Drosophila melanogaster: one gene and its partner. The protein of the gene in region 1 purifies or fractionates together with the protein of each later gene. This does not show direct contact. Each region holds a gene or a part of one and is shown in the gene's direction. Other genes may lie near its edges. The genes, in order: IntS6 and IntS1.

The links.
Region 2: the proteins of IntS6 (region 1) and IntS1 purify together in Drosophila melanogaster (affinity purification with mass spectrometry; 2 studies listed by BioGRID, with this or other methods). This does not show direct contact.

Annotation. Positions count from the first base shown.
Region 1 is NC_004354.4:5,745,646-5,749,565, reverse strand, and holds the start of IntS6 (integrator 6), read left to right. Parts: upstream 1-2,311; 5' UTR 2,312-2,794; intron 2,795-3,190; exon of another isoform or gene 3,191-3,363; intron 3,364-3,920. Other genes in the region: Rtel1 (regulator of telomere elongation helicase 1), read right to left, coding at 25-572, 648-1,697. UniProt on the Drosophila melanogaster protein: Component of the integrator complex, a multiprotein complex that terminates RNA polymerase II (Pol II) transcription in the promoter-proximal region of genes.
Region 2 is NT_033778.4:24,036,003-24,039,922, forward strand, and holds the start of IntS1 (integrator 1), read left to right. Parts: upstream 1-1,940; 5' UTR 1,941-2,059; coding exon 2,060-3,377; intron 3,378-3,438; coding exon 3,439-3,920. Other genes in the region: MAN1, read left to right, coding at 1-648; Not11 (CCR4-NOT transcription complex subunit 11), read right to left, coding at 781-1,138, 1,199-1,338, 1,393-1,638. UniProt on the Drosophila melanogaster protein: Component of the integrator complex, a multiprotein complex that terminates RNA polymerase II (Pol II) transcription in the promoter-proximal region of genes.

The DNA of each region.
Region 1 (3,920 bases):
GCTTGTGGTGTGAAAAATGCTTACCGGTTCGCATAGTTCGATATCAGTTGCTGCCGATCGGGTCCGGTGCCGATGATCTTGACATAAACCTGCGACTGGTCGACGATGTGCGGATTCTCCAGATGCTGGGCCACCGGAATGGCAAGCTCGGCGATTAGCGGCTTGAGGGGAGCTAGTGTGCCGCTGGTCAGGATTACGCTGCGCACTTGGGTGTTGAGCAGTTGCTCCATTCCGAAGCCAGGATTGAAGCACCAGAAGTTAATGATTTTTGCGACCTTGCTTAAGCCAGTCGCTGCTGCAATCGTTCCCTTGCCAAGCCAACCGCCCTGCTGTTTAGCACCCTGCTGCTTACCGTGTCCCTGCTTGGACTCCTCCACCAGGACATGCACTTTGAAGCTTGCGTACACCTTGCTCATCACATCCTCCTTGTTGGCAAACACAATGGTCAGTAGATCGCTAAGCAACGTGAAGGTGCCGCCCTTGCGGATGCTCATCTGCTGGGAGGCCACTAGGAGGTATTGCACCAGTTTGTCCAGCAGGGATACTATCGTTGCAACGTTGCCGTAGGTGAACTACAATAAAGGAAGTTACATTTTTAAATAGGCATTCTTTTAAAAACATTTCCGATAAGATTTAGTGCATCTTACATTCGCCTTGCCAAGCAGTTCGTACATCATGGAGGCGGGAAAGGTAGTTCCATCGACGGCGTTGTCCACAACGATGGCATCGATGGCCTTTTCGAGCTCGAGCAGCATCTCCTTGAGCAGTGTAAGGTCGTCCAGTGTGAAGTCCTTTGGCTCATCTCCAGCCATATCCTGCGACTCGCCGCTCGCAAAGACTTGCATGATATGCGTGACGTCCTCGATGGCCATGGCCACATCAGAGGACTTAATCTGCACCGAAGCGGACTCCTCGCAGATCTTCTCGATGTTGTGGGCCTCATCCAGGATCACAATAGTGTTGCCCAGTTCGATTTTGTTGGCCTTGCGAGCCTTGGGATCGAGTAGATAATTGTAGGGCATGAAGGTGATATCCGCCTGGGGAACCAACTCCCGAGACGCGAAGTAGGGACAGATCTTGAGTCGCTGGCCCACCTTGACCAGGTCCTCAATGTCCATGATGGTGGGTCCGCGCAAATCGGGATGATCCTTTCGCGACTCAACGCGCATTTGAAATGAACAGGTCTTGGAGTGCACCCGTAGCTTGCACATGTTGGTCTTGTTGGAGTTGCCCTGCTCCCGCATGACCTCCGGATGAATGCATAGCTGATCGCGGGAGCCCAGAACCACGGATCTCATGTTAGCGTACGCTGTCCTCTTGAGTTCCCGCATCGCCTGCGTCAATTGGGAGTGGGTGCGCGAGGCGTAGATGACCTTGGGCACGCCCCAGTTATTCGCACGACCCATGGTCTTGGCCAGCTCGGACAGGTCTCCCCCAGGTGCTCCGCCTCCAAGACCCGAAAAATCTGCCTTCTCCATCTTAACCATCTGCTTTTGGTGCTCCGATTGCCTGGTGCGGATCCAGGCCAAGGATGAGCACAGCAAGCTTAGGGTCTTGCCCGTGCCGGTTGGCGATTCCAGGACTCCATTCGTGCCATCGCGGAGACAATGGATCACCTTCTCCATGTACGCCCGTTGAACCGGGTACGGCTCGAACGGAAAGTGCACCGGAATGCCGGCGATCAGGCTCTCCGGCATTATTCTTAATAATACTATTTATTTACTTGTTTACGCGCCAAATCGGAGTGAACATGTGTTCGTTGGTCGATAACAATAAATGTCTGTGTAGGTGGTCAGTTATCGCTATCGATAGAGTACAGTGGACCCTGATTAAGTAATTTTATAGCGTTATCTTGAACTCCGAGTCAAATGTTTACAACTTGCATGTCAAACCCTGCGTAGTTTATTTTAAACGTAATAGTAGTACTAATCACCACCCAAAGTGCTGCAATCGTGTTTATGGTACCTTATGGATAATAGTAACTGAAACTTATAAACTTATTAGCATTGGAGGGAATACTGTAGTTGTGATTCTGTTTATTTGGATCAAAGATTAACGATATAACATTTTAAGTGAATGTTATGGATTATACCAAACTAATGAACTAATGGCATTCAAGATTAAATGTGCAGCATACATATAAATCCCCTAACAAGGTAAGTAAATATTTGACATCAATTATTACAAACTCAGTTAATTCAACCACAAATCCATTTATCGTGACCCCTTCGCTCGGCTTTTCCGAATCGCCGCGATACGGCCCCACTGATTTGGCGCTTCTCGGCCACACCAAAAAAACACAGAACGGCATCAAATCATTCGAACTTTGAGAACGGTAGTGTTGTGTTGTTATTGCTCGGCAGCAAAGTAAAATCCGAAGAGAAGCGAGTCGAACAAGAGAAGAAGAAGCGCAGGAGTGGACGACAGCAATGCAACAACAGTGACGAGGCGCCAGTGTGCAAAAGTATGTGTGCGAGTGCGTGTAAGCAACAACTCCCCGATACAAACCTACGAGCGAGAGGGGGACGGCGATAGCGACGGTCGTTCGGTCGGTCGGTCCGACCGCTAGTCGCGTCTGTCGGTCGTTCTCGCCTATGCACCTCGGCGGCAGAGCGAAAGAGAGCGCACTCTGGCTGTGTGTGTGCGTGTGTGTTCTCGCTCTCTCGCGCGGTGGTGATAAATTTCTGTTGGCACAAAGTAAAAATATAACAGAATAAAAAATCGTGGCGCGGCATATAGAAGCTAATCGAAAATTATTGCGAGTATTGGGTGGAGGAGAAACATTCCTCTTCTTGTGAGTGCGTTTTTGTTTTAGTTATTCTTTTTTTTTTTTTTTTTGGCCGGAAACTCTCACTCGAAGATGCTGCCGGTGTAGTTGTGTATGAATGTTGTACCATTTTTTTTTTTTTTGAGATAGAAAATTTAGATCTAAAATATTAACCATGCGATCCTTAGAATCGCACTTTTAAAATATGTCCACACATTTTCAAATTCGAAAGCTTTGGCGGGCTGTCGATGGGCGGGCGCTTGCAACTCTGGCGATAACGATTACCGTGCCGATAACGCGGCTGCACTAATCAGCATTATCACATGCAAATTAAGGTCATCCAAATGAAAAATGACCACCAATCAAAGGCCCTGCACCCCTTTGCCGCCCCCCATTTATGCGAAACAACTAGAAAAAGTGTGTTTATTTCTTCACCGTTTTTCGAGCTCTGACAACCCTGCCGCTGCTGCATAAGTGAATTCCGACAAAGAGCCGTGTCATTTTGTTGGCCAAAACATCGCTGCGCCGAGATTAATTAGACGGAAAAAACTCGATTACTTGAAGTGCTCGGCCCTATATCGTTTTGGTTTAAACGTGTGTGTGAGCTTTGTGGATTGCCATCAAACACAATAGGCCGACTCGTCCCCCGCAGCCACCCGTACCATTCCAACACGTCGGAGCAGGGTTGCCAGATCAACGATAAATCACACACCGCTCGTTTAATACGAATTTTGTGTTGTTTTTACTTAAGACAAAATTTGTGAAACTTAATAGATATATTTTAATTTCCGCTCAACGTTATACCTGTCCGAAGTGGGGGTATCTGGCAACTACACCGAGCCGCGTGTGTGCGAATGTGTGTGTGCATGTCCATGTGCGCGAGTGTGCGTATGTGTTTGCGCTCTTATTCAAATAGAAATTGAATGTTTTGCACTCGAATTCAAGACAATTACGGCTCCTCCGGTAAAAACACATTTAGACTGGCTGACCTAATTTAAGGTGTAAGGATGTGGGTTACGCCTGCGATCGCCGAGTGATCGTTATCGTTATCCCGGCTTTGGTTAATCGCATTCCTCCTTCTCCTCCCCCTGGCATCGGCATCCACCACATCCCAACCCCCTTTCTCATTTTTCTCCTCCATCGCCCCTTCTTC
Region 2 (3,920 bases), on another chromosome or scaffold:
TTCCAAAAGGACATAATAAACGAGCTAATTTACTTGAGCTCCCAGTCCGAGAGTCCCGAGGTAGTTATTAACCAGCTGCAGGAGAAGTTTCTGCCGGCCAAGAAGCGCTCAAAGCTCTTGTCTTCTTGGAACAAGGCCCTCAAGCAGCTGGAGAAAAACGATAGCCGTGTGCTGTTCGGAATGGTGAATCGTGACGGGAAGGCAATGCGCACAATTGCGTGGAACAGGAACGTTGACAAAAAGGATGTGGGGCTTGTTAAGAAGTGGCAGAGTCCCGCCTTCGATAACTCGAACAAGATTGCCAACCCGCCGACTCCCTGCCTGAAGATTAGGCACATGTTCGACTCCTCAGAGGTGGATCAGGCCAATCTGAAGCAGTCCATCGTGGAGTCGATCATCGAGAAGGTCGGCACGCGCTGCAAGATCTGCGATGTCCAGCTGGACGTGCAGTCCTGCTGCGTGTACATCCGCTGCGCCAGCGAGGAGGACGCCGGCACGATTCACAAAGAGATCAACGGCTGGTGGTTCGACAAGCGCCTGATTTCGATTAAATTCTTAAGACTGGAACGCTACCTGAGCCGTTTCCCCAAGCCCTCGGCCGAGCCACTTTACTTTCACACCAACGAGGCAGCCAACACTCACTCATAAAACACACAACTCTACATTAGATACTTAAGTTATTAAATGCGAATTTGTTTTACATGTACAGCTGGAGTTGTCGTATTTAATCGATTTATTATGAACTAGACTTTAAAACTTAAAATCTGCTAAACACTACCACTACTTAGCTAGGGAGTTGGACGACAGAGCGCTTTCCCCAGTTTCCAAGTGTTTGATAAGCCGGTACAGGGTAGCAGCCTCCTTGATTTTGCTGAAACCCACGCAGAAGGCTTCGATTTCAATGAATAGTTCCTGGAAAATAACAATAGAATAGTCACTAAGCACAGTCGAGGAAATGGTAGTAGCGCATACCCTAACGTTCACAATCTTGTTCCTAATCAAGGACTGCAGAAATACGCAAACGAGTCGCACCAGGCGAGACTGCATGTACTTGTCCTTGACTGTTTCGCAAGTCGAGATGCAATTGCTGATGTATAGGTGAATAAACTCAGTGGGCAAAGGTCCGGAGGTGGTTAGTCTGGAATGAGAGCTCGAGCATGTTAAAGAAGCCTTCAATACTCGATGTTTGGATTCCTACCGGTTGACCACCTCCATGGAGTGAAGTGTTATGTCCATGTTGACCAACACGTTGAAGTATTCAGTTATGTCGGAGGTCGTCATCAGTCTTAGCAAGATCTCAATGGAGATGAGAGGATTGCTTTCCACGAGCAGAGGTAGCTGAGATGGAAGCAATGGATAAGACATATATCTAGCAATGTTTTCGGTTCTTACCTTGTCCGGGGTCAGTCCATATTGGCGCGCAATGTCCGTGTTCTGCTTCAGCAGGTCGTCGAAGAGGATGTGCTGGTTCTGGAGGCTGAGTGGCTGGAGAAAAGCCTGCTCGATGAGGTGCTTTATGTTGGGGGTAATGTAGTTGGACTTGTCGTAGATGATCTCCACCTTGTCGCTGTTCGACTGGTTTATCCAGAGCAGCTCGTCCTCGAAGTCCATTAGGGGCGGGGCGATGGACAGAAACATGCTGGTGCGCTGATTTTAATTTACAATTATTATTATTTTCCTTGCAATTTTGTAAACAATTTTAGTGTGACCGCGTTGAGGGGTTCTTAAGAACAATCTGCACATGAGAGTGGGCCATCTGAAAAATGATGTATGCAAATGTGCGCCTAAGGGTGTTAGGTTACACACTTGTCAAAAAATAAAAATTAAAATATGAAAACAGTTCAATATTTATATTAAAGCCTGTTTCAAAGCTTCCATCGTTCCGAATCAGAGCAGTTGCACAGACTTCTGCATGCGTTAGCCATTGAGCCCTAGCGCCTGCACTCTGGTCACACTGCAACTGTTGCACGGCTGCAAATCGCAAAGCAAAATAAAATGCACCGCGCTTGAATTATCCATTTTATGGACAGAAAAAACCTTCACACACGAACAGAGAAAAATGGATCGCGGGAAAGGAAGCGGCTCCAACCGATCGCAGAAGAAGGTTCCGCTGGGCGGAGAACTCTTTGCGCTCGGCAAGAGCGTACGCGATGACTCCAAGTCGAAGATCCTGCCCATTAAGGGCATGTCGTCGTCGGACCGCAAGCGTGAAGCCTCCACCGCACTGGCCAGCTCGAGCAAGCGGTTCCGCGGCAACCTGAAGGACGCGGGCGCCCCGGACATGTCCTCCGGTAGTAGTCAGTGCGAGACGTGGGAGCAATTCGCCGTTGACTGCGATCTGGATACCGTGGTCGAGACCATATACGCGGCTTTGGAGCAGAACGACAGCGAAACTGTGGGCCGGCTTGTATGCGGCGTTATAAAGCAGACAACGACGAGCTCCTCGCGCTCCAAGGTGGACAACATTGCCCTTCTGGCCCTGATCTACGTGGCCAAGGTACAGCCGAGTATATTCTGCACAGACATAGTGGCCTGCGCGCTGCTTTCCTTCCTGCGGCGGGAGGCCAACGTGAAAATGAGGTACAACACCAACCTGCACATTCTGTTCGCCAATCTGCTGACCCGGGGCTTCATGGAGATTTCCCAGTGGCCGGAGGTGCTGCTCCGCATTTACATAGACGATGCGGTTAACGAGCGCTACTGGGCGGACAATGAACTGTGTGCCCCGCTCGTGAAGAACATATGCGCAGCCTTTAAAACCCGCACGCCCCACATCAGTCTCCTCCGCTGGGATGTGAGCTCGTCCCTGCCTTCTGGTCAAGCACACAGAGACAGCATGACTGTGGACGACGATTCCGGGGACAATTCCACACAGAGCTTGGATGCAAGTCCCTTAAATACCGAATCGGAACCAATTCCCGACGCTATGTGCACCACTAAATCAAGATTCAGCGATGCTGTGGTGCAGAAGCATGTCAGCGATGCCATTCGCGATCAGCTCAACAAGCGACAGCAGCAGGATAACTACACCAGAAACTTCCTAAAGTTCCTGTGCACCACTTCTGGCATTGCAGAGGTACGATGTCTGAGCATTTCCCGCCTGGAGCTGTGGATCCACAACGGAAAACTGGTCAAGTTCGCCCAGCAATTGCTCTCGTACATCTGCTTCAACATCAAGGGACGCAACACACAGGACAACGAAGTGCTCTTGGTGCTGGTGAAGATGCGGCTCAAGACGAAGCCCCTAATAAACCACTACATGTCCTGCTTGAAGGAGATGATTTTTCTGCAGCCGGAAATCTTGAGTACCGTAATGAAACTGGTCGTGCAAAATGAGCTATCCAACACCAGGAATCCAAACAATATGGGGATGCTGGGTAAGAGAAACAAATTTTTTCTTAAATTAAAATCATAATTCTTAATTTGAAACTTTTCCAGCCACAATGTTTCAAACATCTGCTGATCAATCAGCTGCCACTCTGGCTGAGATTTACCAGGAATTCTTGCTTCAGCGGGACGATTGCCTGCGCACCCTGCGCGTTTTCTTACGGGAGCTTGTGCGGATGCTGCGCTTCGATGTGAACCTGGTCAAGTTTTGCAAGACGTTTCTCAGTGAGCGGGAGGATCTGACTCCTCAAATCGAAATGTTCGAGTTTAAGGAGCGAATTTTCAACTCCATGGTGGACATTGTGTGTCTCTGCATGTTTCTGTCGGCCACGCCACAAGCTAGGGAAGCCAGTTTGTCCCTGAAAACCAATCGGGACACCAAAAACAACCATGCTCTGCTCAAGCTGTACAATCAGATGTCACAGATTCAGTTGGACACAGTGTCCTGGATGTACGAAACAGTACCCACGCTCTTCAAGATTCCGGCTGCGGAGTACCACCAGGCGCTGCACAAGCTGCTACTGCTGGACAGT